Ovis aries: one gene and its partner. The protein of the gene in region 2 purifies or fractionates together with the protein of the main gene of each other region. This does not show direct contact. Links are inferred from orthologs where the notes say so. Each region holds a gene or a part of one and is shown on either strand. Other genes may lie near its edges.

Evidence for each region. Proteins that work in one complex are often made in the same cells at the same time.
Region 1: the proteins of RPTOR (region 2) and MLST8 purify together in Homo sapiens (affinity purification with western blotting; 15 studies listed by BioGRID and IntAct, with this or other methods). This does not show direct contact. The link is inferred for Ovis aries from reciprocal best matches to the Homo sapiens genes RPTOR and MLST8.

What each region holds. Positions count from the first base shown.
Region 1 is NC_056077.1:2,251,778-2,262,292, forward strand, and holds MLST8 (target of rapamycin complex subunit LST8), read left to right. Parts: upstream 1-3,913; 5' UTR 3,914-3,954; intron 3,955-4,474; 5' UTR 4,475-4,547; coding exon 4,548-4,676; intron 4,677-4,804; coding exon 4,805-4,856; intron 4,857-4,935; coding exon 4,936-5,098; intron 5,099-5,398; coding exon 5,399-5,474; intron 5,475-5,559; coding exon 5,560-5,712; intron 5,713-6,580; coding exon 6,581-6,705; intron 6,706-6,848; coding exon 6,849-7,012; intron 7,013-7,101; coding exon 7,102-7,220; 3' UTR 7,221-7,674; downstream 7,675-10,515. Other genes in the region: BRICD5 (BRICHOS domain-containing protein 5), read right to left, coding at 7,675-8,025, 8,240-8,341, 8,419-8,574, 8,767-9,102.
Region 2 is NC_056064.1:51,492,974-51,503,152, reverse strand, and holds the start of RPTOR (regulatory-associated protein of mTOR), read left to right. Parts: upstream 1-4,189; 5' UTR 4,190-4,966; coding exon 4,967-5,128; intron 5,129-10,179. UniProt on the Homo sapiens protein: Component of the mechanistic target of rapamycin complex 1 (mTORC1), an evolutionarily conserved central nutrient sensor that stimulates anabolic reactions and macromolecule biosynthesis to promote cellular biomass generation and growth.

The sequences.
Region 1 (10,515 bases), on a different chromosome or scaffold from region 2:
GGGGCTTCTTTACCCCTGGTGTCACCTGGGAAGCCCCCCACCGAGTCCTCACAAAAATGCTCAGGACTCAGACACCTGGCTGTGTCCCCCAGCCCTCTCCTGAGCCCGCCTCTCTCCCACACTCAGGCTCTCAGGCTTTATGCTGCTCTGGATATCCTTCAGGTATTCCCAGGCCTGCATATCCATCTGCCACTCCCCGGAGCTGCCCTGGGGAGCACCTGTACTTCAAGAGGAAGATAAGCATGTTTGTGGGGTGGGTGTGCCCGCATGCAGTCGCCCAGCCAGAAGGGGCAAGGTCAGGGTGTAGCTGAGCCCAGTGGGGTGGGTTCTGCCGCGTTCTAACCACGTGCCCTGGGATGTGTGACTCTACATCTGTGAGTCTCGGGGGGTTTCAATTTAATTTATTTTTGGCTGTCTTGGGTCTTCATCTCAGAGCAGGCTTTCTCTAGTTGCAGTGAGCGGGGGCTACTCTCTAGTTACAGTGCCGGGCTTCTCATTGCAGTGGCTTCTTTTGTTGAAGAGCATGGGCTCTAGGGTATGTGGGCTCAGTAGTTTTGTTGCTCCGTGGCATGTGGGATCTTCCTGGATTGGGATCGAACTCACGTCTCCTGAGTTGGCAGGTGGATTACCACTGAGCTACCAAGGAAGCCCCAAGCCTCAGTTTTCTCACCTACCAAATGGGAGTGGTTCCTCCTTGGCAGGGTTATTGCGAAGACCCAATGCAGAATGTGGGTAAAAGGCTCAGCCCAGTTTGGCGGTTCCTCAAAAACTGAAACGTGGAATGACAAGACGCAGCAGCCCCACTGCTACTATATACTCGAGCAAAATCAAAACGGGTACTCAGAAGTACTTGAACAGAAACATTCATTGCAAGCATTATTTGTACTAGCTAAAACGTGGAAACCATCTCATCAAGTGTCCATCAATGAATGGAAAAACGGATAAATGAAATATGGTCCATCCATACAATGAAATATTGTTCAGCCATAAAAAGGAATGAAGTACTAATACAGGCGTCCCTTGAGGCTCAGCTGGTAAAGCACCACCTACAATGCAGGAGACTTGGGTTCAATCCCTGGGTTGGGAAGATCCCCTGGAGAAGGGAAAGGCTACCCACTCCAGTATTCTGGCCTGGAGAATTCCATGGAGTGTATAGTCCATGGGGTTGCAAAGAGTCGGTCACAACTGAGCGACTTTCACTTTCACTGACACAGGCTACAACCTGGATGAACCTAGAAAATGTTATGCCCAGTGAAAGAAACCAAACACAAAAGGCCATATATTGTATGACTTCATTGCTATGAACTGTCCAGAAGAGGTAAATCCATGGAGTCAGGAAGCGGATCACTGGCTGCCAGGGGCTGAGGGGAGGTGGGGTGGGGGATGGGGAGTGAGTGCCTAACGGGTGGTGGGGGAGGAGGGGTTCTTTTGGAATGATGGGAATGTTCTGGAACTAGACAGAAGTGGTGGTTGCACAACATTAAGTGCCACTGAATTGTTCACTTAAAAATGGCAACGTTCATGTAATGTGAATTTCACCTCAATTCAAACAAAACATTCGGTATAGCCCCTTCATACAGAATAAGCTCTCAAAGCTATGAAAGGTGCTAAAAAAATCAGAAGTTCAGCAGGTAAAGAGGCAGAGATGACACATCCTAGGTGTGGGCAAGGGTTCAAAGAGAGGGTGCAGTGAATTCTGAGACTGCCGTTCACTCGTGGCTTGTGCAGTGGAGAGGAGAAAGCTGCAGGGTTGGCAGGGGCTGGGCCCAGGAGTCTGAAGGGTGATGGGTGACACTTGCAGGATTCTTACAAGGTTTAGGCTTAGGATTTTTTTTTAGTTAAAAATATTTATTTATGTTTGGCTGCATCAGGTCTTAGTTGTGGCATGTAAGCTCACTAGCTGTAAGCTTAGTACCTGCAATGCGTGGGCTTAGTTGCCCTGCGGCATGTGGGATCTTGGCTCCCCGACCAGGGATTGAACTCACATCCCCTGCATTAGGAAGAAGGCAATGGCAACCCACTCCAGTACTCTTGCCTGGAAAACCCCATGGACAGAGCAGCCTGGCGGGCTGCAGACCATGGGGTCGCAAAGAGTTGGACAGGACTGAGCGACTTCACTTTCACTTTTCACTTTCCTGCACTGGAGAAGGAAATGGCAACCCACTGTAGTGTTCTTGCCTGAAGAATCCCAGGGACGGCGAAGCCTGGTGGGCTGCCATTTCTGGGGTCGCACAGAGTCGGACACGACTGAAGCGACTTAGCAGCAGGAGCAGTCCCTGCATTAGATGGTATATTCTTAACCACTGGATCACCAGGGAAGTCCTCAGTCTTAGGTATACAGAAGACCACTCTATAATGTGAAGGACAGCTTGGAGGGGGCAGGAGAAGGGTGATGGGGAAGCTGCTCCTGAGAGGGGGTGGTGGTCCATGGGATCCTGTCTGGCTGTCACTTATGGGTGGGCACCACACACAGAAGAGAAAGCCTTTAGGGGCAGGTCTATCATGAACTGTCTTGGCCATGGGAAGCAGAGGGGTCTGTGGGGCCCTTGATGGACAATGTCAAACAGGGAGCTGGCTGTGAGCTGGAGACAGGGAAGGAAGGACCCGGAGCAAGGAAGGTACTGAAATCCCTGGAGAGTGGGCAGGAGCCCCAGGGACAGGGTGGACACAGGATCTCTGGAGGCTGCCAGCCTTGAGGGGAAGGCAGAGAAAGAGAATGAAAGCGGGGGGTAAGAAGCTAGCAACAGTCACAGGAGCTTTCTAGGAGCAGTGCTGTCAGCCACTGTGTAGACAGACGTAGCAAGATGCATGAGAAAAGTATGTGCTGCGTTTGGCAGTGTGAGATGGCCAGTGACCTTGTGAAACTCTCACTGGAGAGCTGGGAGTAAAACATGACAGCTGACAGCGAGTCAAGCTGCTAGTGAGAAGTGAGGCTGGATTTCTGAAAGGGTGCCGTCTGGAAGGATGGTGTGGAAATGCTGAGGGAGGGACTTCCCTGGCAGTCCAGGGGTTCAGGCTTGGTGCTTCCACTGCAGTGGACACAGGTTCAATCCCTGGTCGGGGAACTAAGATCCCGCATGCCACATGGTGCACAGACAAAAAATTAAAGAAAGACAAGAAAAAGAAACGCTGACAGGAAGGAAAGAGGGAAGATTCAGGGAGGAAGGTTGCCGGGACCAGGGCCTGGGTGGATAGGCAGGGGACATGGCCTTGGTCAAGGGGCCAGAGGAAGGAAAAGGGGTGCAGCTCAATTTAGAAGCCTGGTGGGAAGATGCCCTGGGAGAGGCTGTCGCAAGATTCTTTTTATTTTTTTTCTGAGGCCACGTGTGTAGAATGTGGGAAGGCTGGATGGAAGAGAAGCCGCGAGGGACCCCAGTAATGGACGGGTCACTGGGATTAGTGAAGGGACCTGAGGGTCCGATGGGTCTGCACAGGCCTGACAGGGCCCAGACTAGGGGTTGCCTGATGTAGCAAATAAAACTACAGGACACCTAACCACACTTGAATTTCACGCAAGCAACGTAGAACTTTTTAGTATAAGTATATCCCGTGCAATATTTAGGCTGTACTCAACAAAACACGTTGCTTACCTGAAATCAAATGCAACTGGATGTCCTGTAAATTACCTGGGAATCCTAGTGGGCACCAGACGGATGGGGGGGGGGGGAGGAGGATGGTACCATCCAGCCTAGGGAACCGCTCTCGGGAGGGTGGGGTCCCCGAGAGGGGAAAAGGCTGGGGTCGCTGCTTTCGTCCCGGGGCCTGTACCGCTTCTTGCCAGGAGACAGGAGCCTTCTACCCCAGGGCTTCAGTCTCGTCCCCGCCACCCCCTTCCCTCGCGCCCCTTGGTGTCGCCCTACTAGCCCATCGATAACTCGATGCTCTGCCTTTATCGACCTGCTCCGGCTCCGCTAGCCGTCCTGGGCCGCGGCGGAGCGGGGAGCCGCCTGAAAGGTACGGGGGGCGCGGGACGAGGGCTGGAAGGCGACATCCAGGGGCCGGGAGAGCGCGCCCGGGGGGCGCTGGCTCCGCGGGACAGAGTCAGGGCGGTCGGCGGAGCGCAGGGAAGCTCGAGGGTCCAGCCAGGGAGCTCCGCCACGCCGCCCCACAGGGCCCGCCGCAGGCCCACTACGCACGCGCGGTCGCCGCGCTCAGGCTTTGCTCGCGGGCCAGTGCGCAGTCCTGCGCACGCGCGGCCCGCCCCTGCGGTACCGCGGCGCCCGCGGCGCGACTGCCCCCTGCAGGCCGCTGGTGGGAGGGCGTTCCGGCGGCGGCTCTCGGGGCGGGGGACGGAGGCAGCGGCTCGGAGCGCGGAGCTGTCCCTTGCCGGTTGCCCTGAACCTCTCCGCGCCTCGGTTTTCTCCGTGTCTAAAATGGGGATGATTTCATTATTCCCCAGCACCGAGTAATCTGCTGTAACGTACTTAGGACGTAGGGTATTCTCTAAACACTGCACTCCCTATCTCTGCTCTAGATGCTCTGATCTCTGGCCCCTGCGGGTCAGACCTAGTGCCCTGTGTCGCTCGGAGCCCTTCGGCAGCCACACCATGAATACGTCTCCAGGCACAGTGGGCAGTGACCCCGTCATCTTGGCCACTGCAGGCTATGACCACACGGTGCGGTTCTGGCAGGCCCACAGCGGGATCTGTACGCGAACTGTGCAGCACCAGGACTCCGTATCCTCCGCTGGGGCGATGGGGCGGGTGGTGCCGGACAGGATGCCCGGTGGGAAGGACGCGGCCCTGAACCCGCCGGGGTGGAGGCCTTGGAGGCCCCTGTTGGTCACCCTCCTTAACAGACCCAGCAGGTGAACGCGCTGGAGATCACACCCGACCGCACCATGATTGCAGCTGCAGGTACCCTGCCCTCCACCCCAACCCCTGGTTTCTCCTAGGTCCGTCGGCACAGCCTCACTTGTTTGGTCTCTGCTCCTAGGTTACCAGCACATTCGCATGTATGACCTCAACTCCAATAACCCCAACCCCATCATCAGTTACGATGGGGTCAACAAGAACGTCGCGTCGGTGGGCTTCCACGAGGATGGGCGCTGGATGTACACGGGCGGGGAGGACTGCACCGCCCGCATCTGGGACCTCAGGTGTGGGCACGGGGGGTGGGTGGGTGGGGAGCAGCTTGCTGCCCAGGTGGGTAGGGTGAGGGCCAGCCCAGGAGACTGTCTATGCAGGTGACTTCTTGAAGGCAGGTGAGGAAAGCAGGTAGGGCAGGGAGGCAGACCCACAAAGACCCCCTCCCCCCCACCCCGAGCAGATCCCTAGCCTGATCCCACAGAGGGGTCTGGAATGAGCTGTACCAAAGAGCAAAGGAAAGGGTCTCTCGGGGAGGAGGGGGGCACCGACGGCCACGCACCACGGACGGGGTGTGTCCCCCCATCTCGAAGGTCCCGGAACCTGCAGTGTCAGCGAATCTTCCAGGTGAATGCGCCGATTAACTGTGTGTGCCTGCACCCCAACCAGGTGAGGGGGCCGCCTGAGGCTGGGCATCCTGGGGCTCTGGAGGGCAGGGGTGCTGCCCGGCCTCACCTCCCTGACACCTCCTCAGGCGGAGCTCATCGTGGGTGACCAAAGTGGCGCCATCCACATCTGGGACTTGAAAACCGACCACAATGAGCAGCTGATCCCGGAGCCAGAGGTCTCCATCACGTCCGCCCACATCGACCCAGACGCCAGCTACATGGCTGCTGTCAATAGCACTGTGAGCCCCGGGGAGAGGGTGCAGCTCGGTGCCCTGTTCTTTAGAACCCTGTTCCTGCAGGTGGGCTCATGCCCCATGTGTCCCTGTGGCCTCTCCCCTCTCCTCCCGAGTCCTGCTTCCCCAGCCGGGGCTCCAGCTCTGACCTAGCCCCTAGAGCCAGAACCCTGGGGGTCATGCCCAGTGCAGCCTCTCGCCGCCGGCCATGGCCCATGCGGCAGACGGGGCCTCTCCACCTCCATTCTTTCCAGTTGTCCACTTCCCTCTCTCCTCTTGGTTCCAGTTTCCCTCCTCTCTCCTGACAGTGGCTGGAGCCTCTCTGACTTCCTTCCCCTGTGACATCTCCCTGTCCTTCAGCAGGAGCAGCCTGACCACCTCCTTCTCCTAGGTTAACACTGAGATGCCCCGGGCTCCTTACCAGGGCCTCAGGACCCTGCCATCTGACCCCTGGGCTCCTATCCAGCCTCCTTTTCTCCCTTTAATGTCCATTTGATCTCAGCGAATCAGTTATCCCTCGACATCTCCAAACTGTCCACTCCCAAGCCTTTGCCCTGAAGTTCCCTGTGTCTGGCTGCCCTCATCCTGTCTTGTTCTGCACATTCCTGTTGGCCAGGCGCATCCTTCAGGAAGGCCAGGCGCATCCTTCAGGAAGGCCAGGCATGACCTCCTGCCCTCAGCCCATCAGGCGTGGCCCTTGCTCAGGGCCGGGTCTCCCAGGTGCTCCTTGTCACATATCCCCGGCCCCCAGGTCCTTGTGCGTAGCCGCAGTGCTGGGTGGCAGCCCCTGGATCTAGGCCTTGCTGCTGGGTATCCTCCCCGACCCATCAGACTGGAGGCCCCGGCCTCCTGTGACTTCCCTCCTCCCTGGCAGGGGAACTGCTATGTCTGGAACTTGACCGGAGGCATTGGCGATGAGGTGACACAGCTCATCCCCAAGACCAAGATCCCGGCGCACACCCGCTATGCCCTGCAGTGCCGCTTCAGCCCCGACTCCACGTGTGTGCAGGGCTGGGGGGCAGGAGGTGGTGTGCCTGGGGCTGGGGGCCTGATGCTTTGGGGTCTGCTTGGAGGACAGCACAGGAGTGCGGGATGGGAGCGGCTGCTGATGGCACCCCTGCCGTGCTCACCCCCGCCCCCAGGCTCCTCGCCACCTGCTCCGCTGACCAGACATGCAAGATCTGGAGGACGTCCAACTTCTCCCTGATGACGGAGCTGAGCATCAAGAGCAGCAACCCCGGAGAATCATCTCGGGGCTGGATGTGGGGTTGCGCTTTCTCGGGGGACTCGCAGTACATCGTCACCGGTGGGCCCCGCCGCCCTGCCCCCCGCCCCACTGGCCCGGCCCGGGGCTGCTCCCCGAACCCCATCCGTGCTCTCCCTCCCTCCCTGCAGCTTCCTCTGACAACCTGGCCCGGCTCTGGTGCGTGGAGACAGGCGAGATCAAGAGAGAGTACGGCGGCCACCAGAAAGCCGTCGTGTGCTTGGCCTTCAATGACAGCGTGCTGGGCTAGCCTTGTTCCTGGGCACTGCAGGCAGCCGTCCAGGCGGCACCAGCCGGGTGTGTCTGTCCAACTGCCCAGGTCAACGTGACACCCATGGGCTGGCTGCTTCATCCGAGGCTTGCTGGACTGGACTGAGTGACCCTGGCCCCCCTGGCCAGGCCAGTCCACTCCGGGACTTTCTCAGCCCTGGCTGCTTATGTGGATGCAGCAGGGCTCATTCCTTCAGAAACTCTTGACCCACGGGACCTAGAGCCACCAAGGGCGTCTGAGGCTGGCGCTTACCCCCAGCTGGGGCCTCCTCAGCCGCCCGCCCCCCCGCCCCCAACGCCAGCCCTGTTTTGCGTCCCCAAGGCCACAGAGAATACCGTCACGGCCAGGTGGAGTGGTTTATTATCCCTGCCACCCTCTGTGGACTGGTGACAGGGTCGGCCAGGTGACCGGCCTGTGGGACCAGGCTGGGGGCTCAGTCCGGGAGGTAATAAAAGCAGACGGACACACAGATGTTGCTCGGGAAGCAGATGTCGATACATAGGTAGATCAGCCGCTGCCTCTGGGGCCCTGGAGGAGGGGTCTCTGTGAACCCCAAAGGACCCTTTGCGCTCCGTCCCCAGACTGTCCTAAGGGAGCCCAGGCCCCTCCGCACAGCCTGCCCCAACTTACCCTCTGCACGTCGGGCCCAGTAAATGGGAGTCTTGGCACAAAGGTGCTGCACGGGAGCCCCGACCTGGGCAGGGTCCACCTCTTGGCTCCCAAGCACTGCCAGCAGCTCTTGGGCGTAGTGGGTGTCCTGGCTGGGGCTTTGCGTCGCCTGGAGCTGCAGAGAAGGATGCTTGCGCTGCTTCTGGCGGGGTGGGGCCCATGCACCCCAGGACATGCTGGTGGCATGCCAGCCCTGCCCCGGCTCTTGTCAGCACCCTCGTCCACAGGAAGACAGAGCTTCTGTTCCCCTGAAACTGGAGCCCCAGCCCGCCCTGGGCCCAGGCTGCACACAGGACCCTTTGTCCGGCCCCTGGCTGGAGGCTCCTCACCTGAGAGGTGTTCACCAGCAGCTGCAGAGTCTCACGGTCTCGGGGTTCCATCAGGCGCAGGAAGCAGGCCTGGTGCTCCGAGGGCCGGTAACAGACGCAGCCCTGGGCAGGCAGGCAGGTGAGGCAGGGCCACCTGAACCCCCCCCCGCCCCCACACCCCGCCCTGCCAGTCCACTCACGCTCTGCCCGTCGAATAGCACTGCCCAGCTGCGGTTGCTCTGGGCTGGAGTCACCCAGATGGTTGCCACGTTCTGAGCCACATCTACCTGCTCAGTTTGGTTGGACCGGGGCATGCCTGGGCTCGGGAGGCTCAGGCGGAGAGTCTGCAGAGGGGCCTGAGTGGGAGGCGGGAGGTCGCTGGCCAGGCTGGGGCTGCCTCAACACACCCCCAGCCCAGCTACAGGGCTCTGACCCACCACTCCTCTGGGTTTCTGATGTCTGCTCCCTGCCCTGGCCCCACTGGAGGGCTGGTCTCCTCCTCCTCCCGACTGTCTGAGCCTCTGCCTGGGTCCTGAGAAGGGCCTCACCTGAGGAGGGCTGTGGCTGAAACCAAGGAGCCCTCCAACCACAGCAGCGGCGGTGACCAGCGCCAGCAGCAGCAGCAGCAGCAGGCCAGGAGCTCTCCAGCGCCCGTGGCAGGGCTTGGTCTCCACCTGGAGGCACATCGGAGTCAGTAGGGCCCAGAGTGGAGGCCAGGCAGTGGGCTCCTTCAGGGGCGATAGAGGCTGAGGAAGTTCAGGAGACAGATGCTCTTCCTGCCCTGCCAGGCAGCCCTGGGCCTCTGTCCCCAAGAGGGTGTGAGTGGGGGAAGCGCTCACCCTCGCAGGTGTGGGGTGCTGGGCCCAGTGGCTCCCCTGCCCCATGCTGTGCAGCCAGGGGACAATGCGAGATTGTCTGCTGCTCCCGAGTCGGCTGGGAAACCTCAGGACACCTCCGATGAGCCAGTCCTTCTGGCCCCCTCCCCGTCTGACCCCCCTGCTTCCTCCCCAGCCCAGCCACCTGATATCCCAGTCAGAGACGCCTGGAGGGGCTGCTCATCGCTGCCTGGCTCTCCTGATGCCTGGTCTGTGCAGACCAGAGCGCACATGGGCCTGGCAGCTCAAGAGCCGTTGTGGAAGTGGAGACCCAGTGGCTGGCGCAGAGGGCAGCCCAGGTTGCCCAGGACTTTTTAATACAAAGTCTGGCCGGGGGCTGATTTCATTTTCCTGTAGATGCCTGTTCCCAGTCTCTCAGGTTACCTCTACACTCTGGGCACGGGGCCTGGCATACAGCGGGCCATCAGCAAGTGGCTGTTTCATAGGACTCTGCCACTTCCCTTTCCTCCCAGGCACCCCAGCTGCTTCCCAGTCCCCACCAATGCAAGGCAGCCCGCAGGTGCCTGCCCAAGACCAGGGCAGCTTCTAGGAGGTTCCACTGCTGGAGGGGCAGCCTCCTGGATTGCCTGCATACTGCAGGATGGTGAGGCCAGCCTCGTGCCCACAGACCCCTGCCTGGCCCAGCATGGCTGTCCCTAACTGACCGGTGCCATGCGTTTCCAGCCGCTTTGGGCTATGGATCCCAAAACCCAGTAGCTCCCAGCACTGGCAGGTTTCAGGCAGTGGGTGTCCTTCACCAGCTTCACCCCATGATCGCTTCCTTCTCTGGTTATTTTTTGTGCCTTGTTTTTCCTCATTCTTCAGAACCCGTCTCTCTGTAGTGGGCCTCAAACAGGGCGGAGTTTCTGTGCTCAGAGTCCCAAATTGAACTGGAGTCCCAGAATGGCCTTGTCCTGAGGGTACCCCCTCCCGCTCCCTGGCCATCCGGCTGTGGCGAGACAGCTGCACCCTCCACGCAGAGGCTGCTGTCCAGGCGAGAGCAAGGAACACCAGAGTCAACTGCAGTCGAGAGTTTAATACACCTTTGGGTTCACACAGTGCAACAGGGGTGGGGGGATAGGATGCACAGGCTCCTGGGCCGCTGCCCAGGCAAGAGAGAGGTGTCGCCGGCTGCCGCACGCTCCTGGTGTGGGTGACAACGCCCTGACAGGCCTGCTCAACATCCAGACCCACCTTGAGCCGACCTTGCAGAGCCAACGTCAGCACCACCAAGCTCACAGGCGCCGCTGCCCTCACGTCGCCCCCGGCAGAGTCTGAACCCCAGACGCTGAGGCCTGGGAGGAGCCAAGGCTCAGGACACGCTTTATTGCTCTGAGAACTCTTAAGAGGGTGGGTGAAGGAGCAAGGTGATCTTGAGGCTAGGAGAGAACCATGGGCTCTGAGCAGAAGCTGCTGGGTGTG
Region 2 (10,179 bases):
TGGTAAAGAACCCACCTGCCCTTGCTGGAGACATAAGAGACACGAATTCGATCCCTGGATCAGAAAGATCCCCTGGAGGGGGAAATGGCAACCTACTCTAGTATTCTTGCCTGGAGAATCCATGGACAGAGGGTGAGTCTGGTGGGCTACAGTCTATAGGGTCGCCAAGAGTCGGACATGACTGAAGCAACTCGGCACATAGCACTCCCCTTTCTGTACCTGAAGGTCAAAGGTTATTGATTGTCTCACATCAGTGGTGGTGGTTTAGCTGCTACGTTTCACATCAGAACTGGCCCTAAAAGCCCTTTCTCTCCCAGTTCCACATTGCAGCTTGATGTTCACTCCCAGCGGGATATCATCAACACCCTCTCCCCTTCCACAGCTTGAATCAAATCAGGTTTCACACATTTTTTGAGATTTGTAGAACTTGTTTTCATGATTAAAGTATCTTATTTAGAGGCTTTGTGGCAAGCAGGAGATGTCCTTGTTTGTGAGGAACTGGAGACATTGGGAACCCGAACTGCAGGCCCAAGTGGCCGCGGATCACACGCCGCGGTAATGAGATCACCCAGGTGAGAAACGTTAGCCCTTGAATTTCCAGCCTGTCATTAGTCATCGACGTTCCCTGCCTTCCAGAAACCTGGAGTCAAGCTTCCAAATGCTTATCTGGGACTCGAATAGAGTCTCTCATGACAACACTGGGAAGAGGTTTCTTTTAAATGTCATGATGCTGTGAAATGATTCAAGCCCCTTCCTGAACCTTCAGGTTGGGAGTTGGGCTTTCACCAGCCCCTCTCTGGTTTTTACATGAATAACGGAATTTTGATGCTGAAGTGTCCTTGGAGGTTCACCTTTAAGTTTCTCTTGCCTGGGACTTCACTGGTGGTCCAGTGATTAAGACTCTGTGTTTCCAAAGCAAGGGGCGTGGGTTCGATCCCTCCTGGAGGAACTAAAATCCTGCAAGCTGTGAGACCCCAAAATAAAAGTTTTCTTGTCTCAGATGTGAAGACTGTGGACAGAGGAGGGCAGAGACTGGAAATTCTGTAGGAATTGGTGGTGGGCTGGGGACAGAATGTGTGTATCAAATCATCAGTCCAGTACATGGACCTCAAATGTCTCTAGGTTCTGGGGTCACATTTGTGAAACACTAGAGGGTGTTTTGTTATGTAGTTCGGGGGAGAGGATGAGTCTTGTTCTGATGTGTTAGATGAAAGATTGGATAATTGTTTCATTTATTTGGGGCTTCCCACTTGGAGAAGGTGATGGCACCCCACTCCAGTACTCTTGCCTGGCAAATCCCATGGACAGAGGAGCCTGGTAGGCTGTAGTCCATGAGGTCGCTAAGAGTTGGACATGACTGAACGACTGCCCTTTCACTTTTCACTTTCATGCATTGGAGAAGGAAATGGCAACCCACTCCGGTGTTCTTGCCTGGAGAATCCCAGGGATGGGGGAGCCTCGTGGGCTGCCGTCTATGGGGTCACACAGAGTCGGACACGACTGAAGTGACTTAGCAGCAGCAGGTGGCACTAGTGGTAAATAACCCGCCTGCCAATGCAGGAGACGTAAGAAACAGGGGATCCTGCGGAAGATCCCTGGGGGAGGGCATGGCAACCCACCCCAATTCAGTACAAACAGTTATTGAAGGTCCACCACTGGGCTGGAATGGAATCACTGGAGGAGACTATTGCTTGATTTCCTTAGCGAGAATATTACCCAGTGTCCCCACATCTGACTGATTTTAAATTATTGTCAGGGTTATCTGATTAAAAAATAGAGATTCTGAATCTCTGTCCTCCCTCTCCCCAAGATTCAGTACATCTGAGCTGGGACTCAGGAAAATTAATTTTAAAATCATTACCCAGGTAATTCTGACAACCTGCCATGTTTGGGTTCCACGGGCTCCATTACTACCTTCACTGAGAATGTCAGACAAGCTGAGTGGATTTCCCCAGGTGACATACTTCATAGGTCAGGAAGCTGATTCCCACACAGATTAAGCAGCTTTCCCATGTCACAGGCTTCCCTGATAGCTCAGTTGGTAAAGAATCCACCTGCAATGCAGGAAACCCCAATCGAGTCCTGAGTCTGGAAGATCCACTGGAGAAGGGATAGGCTTACAGTATTCTTGGGCTTCCCTTGTGGCTCAGCTTGTAAAGAGTCAGCCCGCAATGCAGGAGACCTGGGTTCAATGCCTGGGTTGGGAAGATCCCCTGGAGAAGAAAATGGCTACCCACTCTAGTATTCTGGCCTGGAGAATTCCATGGACTGTAGTCCATGGGGTTGCAGAGTCGGACATGACTGAGTGACTTTCACTGATGCCCATGTCACAGGGCTAGTTGGGAATGAATGGGGTTAATGCTGCCACTCTCCTGTAGCTGAGGCTTTCTGAAAGAGTGCCTGGGGACCTTGGCCTTCACTGTTGTATGCTGCAGGGTGACAGGCAGAGCTGGAGTTACACTGCCCTCAGGTGAGAGTGGGATCTTCTCAGGACCCTGCAGTCCTGAAGCCTCTGCTGATGACAGTGGGGGACATTTTGCCAACACTGATAGCAAGGAAAAAGGAAGATATTAACCTCCATCTGTGTTCTGGTGAATTTGTCTTGAGTTTTCATGGGAGAATGGGGCTCATGAGGATGTAATAACTGAACAAATGTTTAGAATGGTAATGTTTTAATCCAAGAATTTTAATTAAATGCCTGCTATGTGCTAGGTGAGAATGATTTTGGATTGCACTATTTACTCAGATGTTGAAAGGAACACAAATGCTGTTTGGATTTTGGTTAAATCAGTTATCTTTAAAAAATTATTATTTTTTATTATCTTTTATTATCTATTATTATTTTATTATCTTTAATAAATTATTATTTGTGGACTGTTTTAAAAGTGTTTATTGAATTTGTTACAATACTGTTTCTGTTGTTTATGTTCTGGTATTTTGGCCATTTGGCATGTGGCTCTTAGCTCCCGAAGCATGGATTGAACTTGCACCCCCTCCATTGGAAGACAAAATCTTAACCACTGGACCCCCAGGGAAATACCCGCCCTCAGGATTTTGATATGGATTTTGACATCGTGTCAAAGCCCTAGGAAACCATACTGAGAAAGAGGGTCTCTTTGAGAGTCCAGCCTGACTCTTTTAGATTAACAAAGCACGCAGGGCTGCTGGATTTCCCTCTGGTATATACCCATCATTGCTGGCATTGTACTGGACACTCACTGTATACCAGACTCCTACACAGGTTAATTTTACCCTTCAAGGTGGGTATTATATAAACCCAGATTATAGTTGAAGGAAGTGAGGCTGAACTAGTTAAGGAATGGATCAATGTTGTCACAGGCATGGAAAGTGATACAGTTGAGATGCAGATACACGTGGGCCTTACCTCAAAGCCTAAATGCAGAGGGGAAGACCAGCCTCCCTGCCGATCTTCCTGCACCCCCCACCCTCCACTACTTTATCTAATGGTTACATGTGTGTCTCACTAGGCACTATGTTTATTGAAGACAGGCACTGCATGCCCCTTGGGGTTTATATTCCCTCTGCATGGGACACATTCTCACACACTGTAAACACGCAATGTTTACGGAATAGAGCAATAAAGTAGTGCAGGAGGCGATCCACGCATAGAGATCTATAGCTTTTAGCTGTTTGTAATAGCTTTTAGCTGTTTGTAAGTAAAGCTACATTCAAATAAGAATAAACCGCTCAGAAAATAAATGGATTAAACAAAAATTACAATTGTCAAAATTAATTTTTTCGCTGTGTTCCTTAAAAATAAGAGTCTGATTGATACTGTGGAGGATAGTACGTCTCCTCCCAACCTCGCGTACGATACTATATTCCTTTGTAATATTATCAATGATTCTTTCGGAAGCTTTTGCTTTTCCAAAATCTGGAAAAAACAAGGGGTCGATTCCTTTAATTTCAGAAGGATGTAGGTCTACTTGTAATAATAAAGATTTTTTCAAAATTAATTAAATGACACAGTTTCATTTATAGGACAGACTTTGATGTGACGCATCTGTTGAACGAAAAGCTATAAACTAGCAAGCTGAATTGTGGTAACGATGGTAACAAGGGGGCGGAGACTTCTCTCGCTGCCTCTTGGGAAGCGCGGCAAGGCAGAACGCTCTGAGGAAGTTTGGCCTGTTACCCACGCCGTAGATCGCGCTGCATGCTGGGTCTTGGCAATATGGCGTCCTCCTTGATGTGCTGATGAGCGGAGTTTCACTGTAGCTTGAAACCAGAGGACAAAACTCCCCAAACCCAATAAGCCCACATTACCCGTCTTTTCCGCGGCTCTGTGTAGCCTGTCTCTCAAGACTCGTTCTCAGACGGGCGAGAGCCATAGGGCTGGAGGCCAGGACCGGCCAGGCCGCGCGGACCCAGTGCTGAGGAGCCGGCTGCGGGCGAGCACGATGGGCCGGTCCTGGCTCTGGTTGCAGCAGCTCCTGCAAGTGCGCGACCCGCAGGGCTGAGAGTGGCTGCAGGAGACCCAAGGCGCTCTGAACCTCATCCCCTCGGCCGAAGACCTCAGCCCAGTCGGCGAACCGGCATCAAGAGCGGGCGGCCTGCCTGTCCTCTGATCGGCTGAGACGTTGGAGGCCGAGAGCAGGGTCATCGTGAGGCCTGGAGTCTCGCACGCCTTTGACAGCTCCGCTCGCAGCCCCTCTGGGAACTGACGGCCTCAGAAGCAGCCGGTGGCTTGGGAACTGGGGGCGTGTGTGTCTGTGCGGAGCCTCTTGGTTCCCTCATTTCCCACCCCCTCCGACTTCCCGCGCAGAGTTAGAAGAATCTCAGACTTTTTGCCTGAGTGAGGGTCTCTCCACCCTCTCCACCCATTTCTTTTTCTACCTCCCCCTTTTCTGTTTCTTATTTCACCCATTCTGGTACACACTAGTTTTCAAGGCTGGAGGTTCTCGAGCGTTTGCTGCCCAGGACTCCCCCACCCCCTCCCCCGCTCATGGAGTCCGAGATGCTGCAGTCGCCTCTCTTGGGACTCGGGGAGGAAGATGAAGCTGACCTTACAGACTGGAACCTGCCTTTGGCTTTTATGAAAAAGAGGCACTGTGAGAAAATCGAAGGCTCCAAATCCTTAGCTCAGAGCTGGAGGATGAAGGATCGGGTAAGTGGATAGCGCCGGCGCCCCTTGGACTTGAGTAGTTTTTTCAAGAAAGTTCAGAGCCAGAAGTATGTCCTTGGTAGAGCGGCGATATTCTTTCCCAGACACATGTTGCAGGTCAACTAAAAAGTACAAATCATTTCAGACTCCAGTTTTGGTTGTAAAGGGAAAAGGCTGTTTTGGTTAGTAGTTATTCACTGGATAGTGTTAATTAGATTCAAAGGGAGTTCTAATTCAGACAATGAAAGTTACACAAGTTAGAAAATACAGCGTTGCAAGTATTTGCATGCTTTTTTGGATATACTTAGTACTGTTAACACTTAGAGGAAAGACAACTTGGGATGTGGTATTTGTCCCCACATGGTAGGTCTACTTTTAGTGACTAGATTACTTTTTTTTTTTGATCCAAGCTAGGTGGAATGCAGAAGTCTAGTATAGTATGCTAGAAAACAAGATTACTGGCAAATGTTCAGCTAGTAACAGATTAATGCAAAGTTATTTTAAAGTTACAATGAACTTTACCAAAGCCTTCTAAGCAATTTGTCTTGAATCTAGGCTTTGCTCCTTTTATGTCATGTCCTGTTACTATTACTTGGAGGCAGAATTTCTCTAATAGTAGAGTATGAGGGGTTGGAACTTGGGTCTAGTAGTGGTTCCTTATGGTGTTGGAATGTGGATAGTGACCCAGGCTGCTAGTAGGAAAGAAAGTCAATTTTGTTTAACTACCATCTATTTCCTGGCCTCCAGAGCAAAAGGGTGGGACTATGTCACCCATACATATTTATAATTTGTCTTTTTGTGTTTTGTTTTCTGCTTCAAGACTGTATTTATTTATTTGAACTTTTTAGCCTAAGAAGGGTAGTTGATATTATCATGTACTGTGCTTGCTCTGGGCTGATGGATATGTTTATATAAGATGGTTGTTTTCAGTATATGATGTTGAACATATATACGATTTCCCTTACGGTAATTTTAGTTATTCAGTCACTAGGAACTAGTGCTTCAGTTGTTATTTGGCGTACCTTCAAAAGGTTTGGAGAAGGAAATGGCACTCCATTATTCTTGCCTGGAAAATCCCGTGGACAGAGGAGTCTGGTGGGCTACAGCCCATGAGATTACAAAGAGTCATACAGGACTGAGCTACTAAGCATGCCCAAAAGGTCAGGAAAATCTGTTTCATCCAAAAGTAGTTTAGGGAGTAACAGAGATGGTCATTGGAAAAGATTGTATAAAGTCTGTCTTATTCAGTTTTAGTACTAATTATGTGGTTTAAAGCTTTTGTGGTTGCTGTCCATATATGAAAAGATTTATTCTAAAAAGTAACTGTAATCTTTTTTCATTCTAATTAGGGCTTTTTTTTTCTTTTGAAAAGGGCTTTCTTTTTCTTAAACTGTTAAACATGTTTAAACCATGCTTAAACTGTTCAAAACTGATTAATGGATTTATTTTTGACCTTTTATTTAAAACAATTTGTGAATGATCAACATTCCCTGATAAGCTCCTCATAGGTTATTAAGAGTAAGAAAAGTTTTGGGAGTCTTGAGTAGTTACCGAGATTGTGACTTAGAGCTAGCTGAGAAAGTATCCAGCCTTTGCAAGTTGTTTAATAAAGAAAAAATATCAGCAGCTAACATTTTTAGTTGTTTCTGAGAACTTGGCATCTGGCCATCCTTATAGTCTCTTTTTCCGGTTAGACCCTGAGGGCGCTTTTTCAGTACACTCTACAGGATGAAGGGTGCCAATCCAAATGATGCTGAGAATTGAAAGGTAGTCTAAAAAAGCCGGGTAGAAGGAGAATAATGGCGCAGATTCAGAGATCAGTGGCAGCTGAGGTTTGACTCGTTTCTGACGCTCTGGAGGGTGGGATCAGTGGGGCTCTGAAGAGCACAGGGTGCAGCTCAAGGGGCAGCTGAGCCTGGCCAGGTCTCCCTTTGTCTTTCTTTTCTTTGACGAGCCAGAAAACTTTTTTTTGTAATGTGAAGTTTTCCAATTTTAAATTATTGGAATGACTTCAAATGTTATAAACCATGAAGCAGTGTATCTGTGGGGCTGGCTCTGGCCAAGGGGTACCTGTATGTGATTTCAAGATTCTAGGACTGTTGAGCACATGGGCATCCAGGCCAGACTGCCTCCCTGTGCTGGGGTGGCCTCCAGCAGTCTGATGGTGCAGCACTGTCATAAAGCAGCAGGTGTGGGTCCAGCTGTCCTGCATGCGGACCAATGTAGGCCACTTCTGGTGCACCACCGGTTGCCCTAAATGCAGACTCAGTCATTGCTTTTTCCTGTGATCCACAGGCAAGTCCACATACTTTTACTGTATATGTATTAGCAATTTCTTGCTGGTGTTCTATTTAGTGCAGTTGTTAAGTGTTCCTAAAATTGACAACTTTACCAAAGTTGAGTAACAACTCCAAGTTTTCTGCCGCTCGGCATTTGACATCCTCACAAAATTACAGTGCACTCTTGTTTGGAATTCCTGCTATCTTGGTGTTAAATCATTTCTGGTTTTCAGATGCCACTATTGTTGCATTTTAATTACTAAGTTACTGTTAGTTCAATACTGTTATTATCAGATTATCAAGTTGGTTTTTTGGTTACTTCAGTGTGTAGTAAATGTGTATATACATTGATGGCATTTTTGATTTGTGATTTTCAAATAATTAGACATATGAATTATAGTTCAAAAATGAATCATTCATAGACCTATGGCTAAAACAGATTTGTGTAAAACTTCCCCATTTGGGTTTTACTGTGATACTTCATCGTTATCACAAGAGTTCATTTTCTAGAAAGTGGGCATGTGGATATATTTGGTCTCAGATGAATCTTTACTTTGTGTGTGTGGGATGGAGTCCGGGAACATGAGAGCTACTGCTCCGAAAGAAAACCATCAGCAGACACACTGTACCTGCAAGTGGGCAAGATATAGCTATAAAATGATGAAACCATTTCCCAAACCAGTCTTTAGACTTAGTCACCTTGCTTTGTAGCCAAACTTGAATAAACCATGGAGGAGGCTGAGTAGATTACATTAAACTGTTATGTGGACAGTCAGATATTTCGGTTGTCTTTGGAGCAGGGCTATGTAGTAATACTTTACAACTCTTTCTTACTCCCTGTTTCTTCACTTTGAATCCTCTCAATCTCTTCCATTTAGATTCCCTTCATGCCACTCAGACTGTCCTTCTACACGGTGATTATTTGTTGCTAAACCTAAATGTCACTTCTCTGTATCTTTTCAACTTCTTGGCAGCATTCCAGGGTGGACCACTCCCTCCTTCATAAAGCTTTTCCTTCACTTGCATCTATGTCTTCCTGGAACTCCAGGTTTTCCTCTGAGGTCACTGATTGGTCCTCCTCAGATTCCTTTGCTGGGTGACAGCAGAGTGTGCAGTACCTGGGAACTTGATCTTGGAGGTCTCTTTATTCTGTATGCCCCTTGCTAGCTGACCTCATCTAGTCTCATGGTTCTATGTGCCGTCTACATGCCTTGACTCCTGTCTCAGATGCCTGGCTGCCTGCTTTGCCTGGGTTTTCTCCATCACAACATGCTGCCATCACCACCCACTCAGTTGTTTCAAGCTCTACATCTGGAATTTATTTGTAATTATTTCCTCTTCCTCTCCTCTTTGTACAATCCGTTTCATCAGTAGGACCTGTCAGCTTTGCCTGCAGAGTGTATTCTGTATTGGACTACCTCATTTTGTCTCCACTGCTGTGAGCCCAGTCCAAGCAATTACCATGTTTCATCTGGACAGCTAGAATCATGTCCTGACTGGTCTCCTTGTGTCTTCTCTTGCCCTACAGTTTACTCTTAAAAAATTTGTTCTTTCATTTATTTTTGGTTGTGCTGGATCTTCTTTGCTGTGTGCAGGACTGGTTGTGATGAGCAGGGGCTACTCTTTGTTGCGGTGCACAGGCTTCTCATTTTGATGTCTTCTCTTGTTGGGGCACACGGGCTCTAGGGCATTCAGGCTTCAGTATGGCGATGCAGCATGTGGAATCTTCTGGACCAGGAATGGAACCGATGTCCCCTGCATTGGCAGGTGGATCCTTAACACTGGACCACCAGGGAGGTTCGACAACTTGTTCTTCATATAGTGGCCAGAGGGATCTTGTGAAAGTGTACGTCAGATCCCGTCACTTCCTTACTAGGCCTCTCCCTGGCTTCCTAGTACTTGGAGTGGAACAGAGAAGTCACCCTGGTTCACAAAGCTTCATAATCTGGCCACGCCTGCCTTTTCTGCTTCTTGAATGGAAAGGCCTGGAATGCTCTTCCATCTCACCTTTGCACACTTGGCTCCTTCTTGTGGTTTATAGCCAGCGTCTAGGTCACTTTCTCAAAGACCTTCCCTGATCACCCCATCTCAAGCAGCTCCCCAGTGGCTCATGTTCTCTCTTTATGTCTCTGATACTTTTCTTCATACTCCACGCCCAGAAGTTAGCTTTTTATCGTAAAGCAAAGACCTTGTCTCTGCTGTCATGAAGGATGGTGCTTGGCACACAGTAGCGTTTCAGTGCAAAGGTACTGATGAGGGGCTTCCCTGGTGGCTCAGTGATGAGGAATCTGCCTGCCAACGCAGGAGATGTGGGTTTGATTCCTGATCTGGAAAGATCCCACATGCCGTGGAGCCACAAGCCCGAGTGCCACAACTATGGAGCCTGGGCTCTGGAGCACCCAAGTGGCAGCTACTGGGCCCATGTGCCGTAGACCCCCTGCTCTGACACGAGAGATGCCACTGCAGTGAGACACCCACCCACTGCAACTAGAGAGTAGCCCCTGCTCGCCATAACTAGAGAAAAGCCCAAGCAGCAACAAAGGCCCAAAACAGCCAAAATAAATGAATAAATAAAAAAATAAAAATATTTTTAGAAAGTACTGGTGAAAAAATGAATCACTCACAAAGAACTTCCAACAGATTATGTCTTTTAAGACTCAGTAGCAGGGATTGTTACCTCAATGTGATTGATGAGGAAACTGAGGCTTGATTAATAGGCTGGCCTGCAGGGACATTGTTTCAGGGCTCCAACAGAGGAAGCAAAATCTGAGAAAC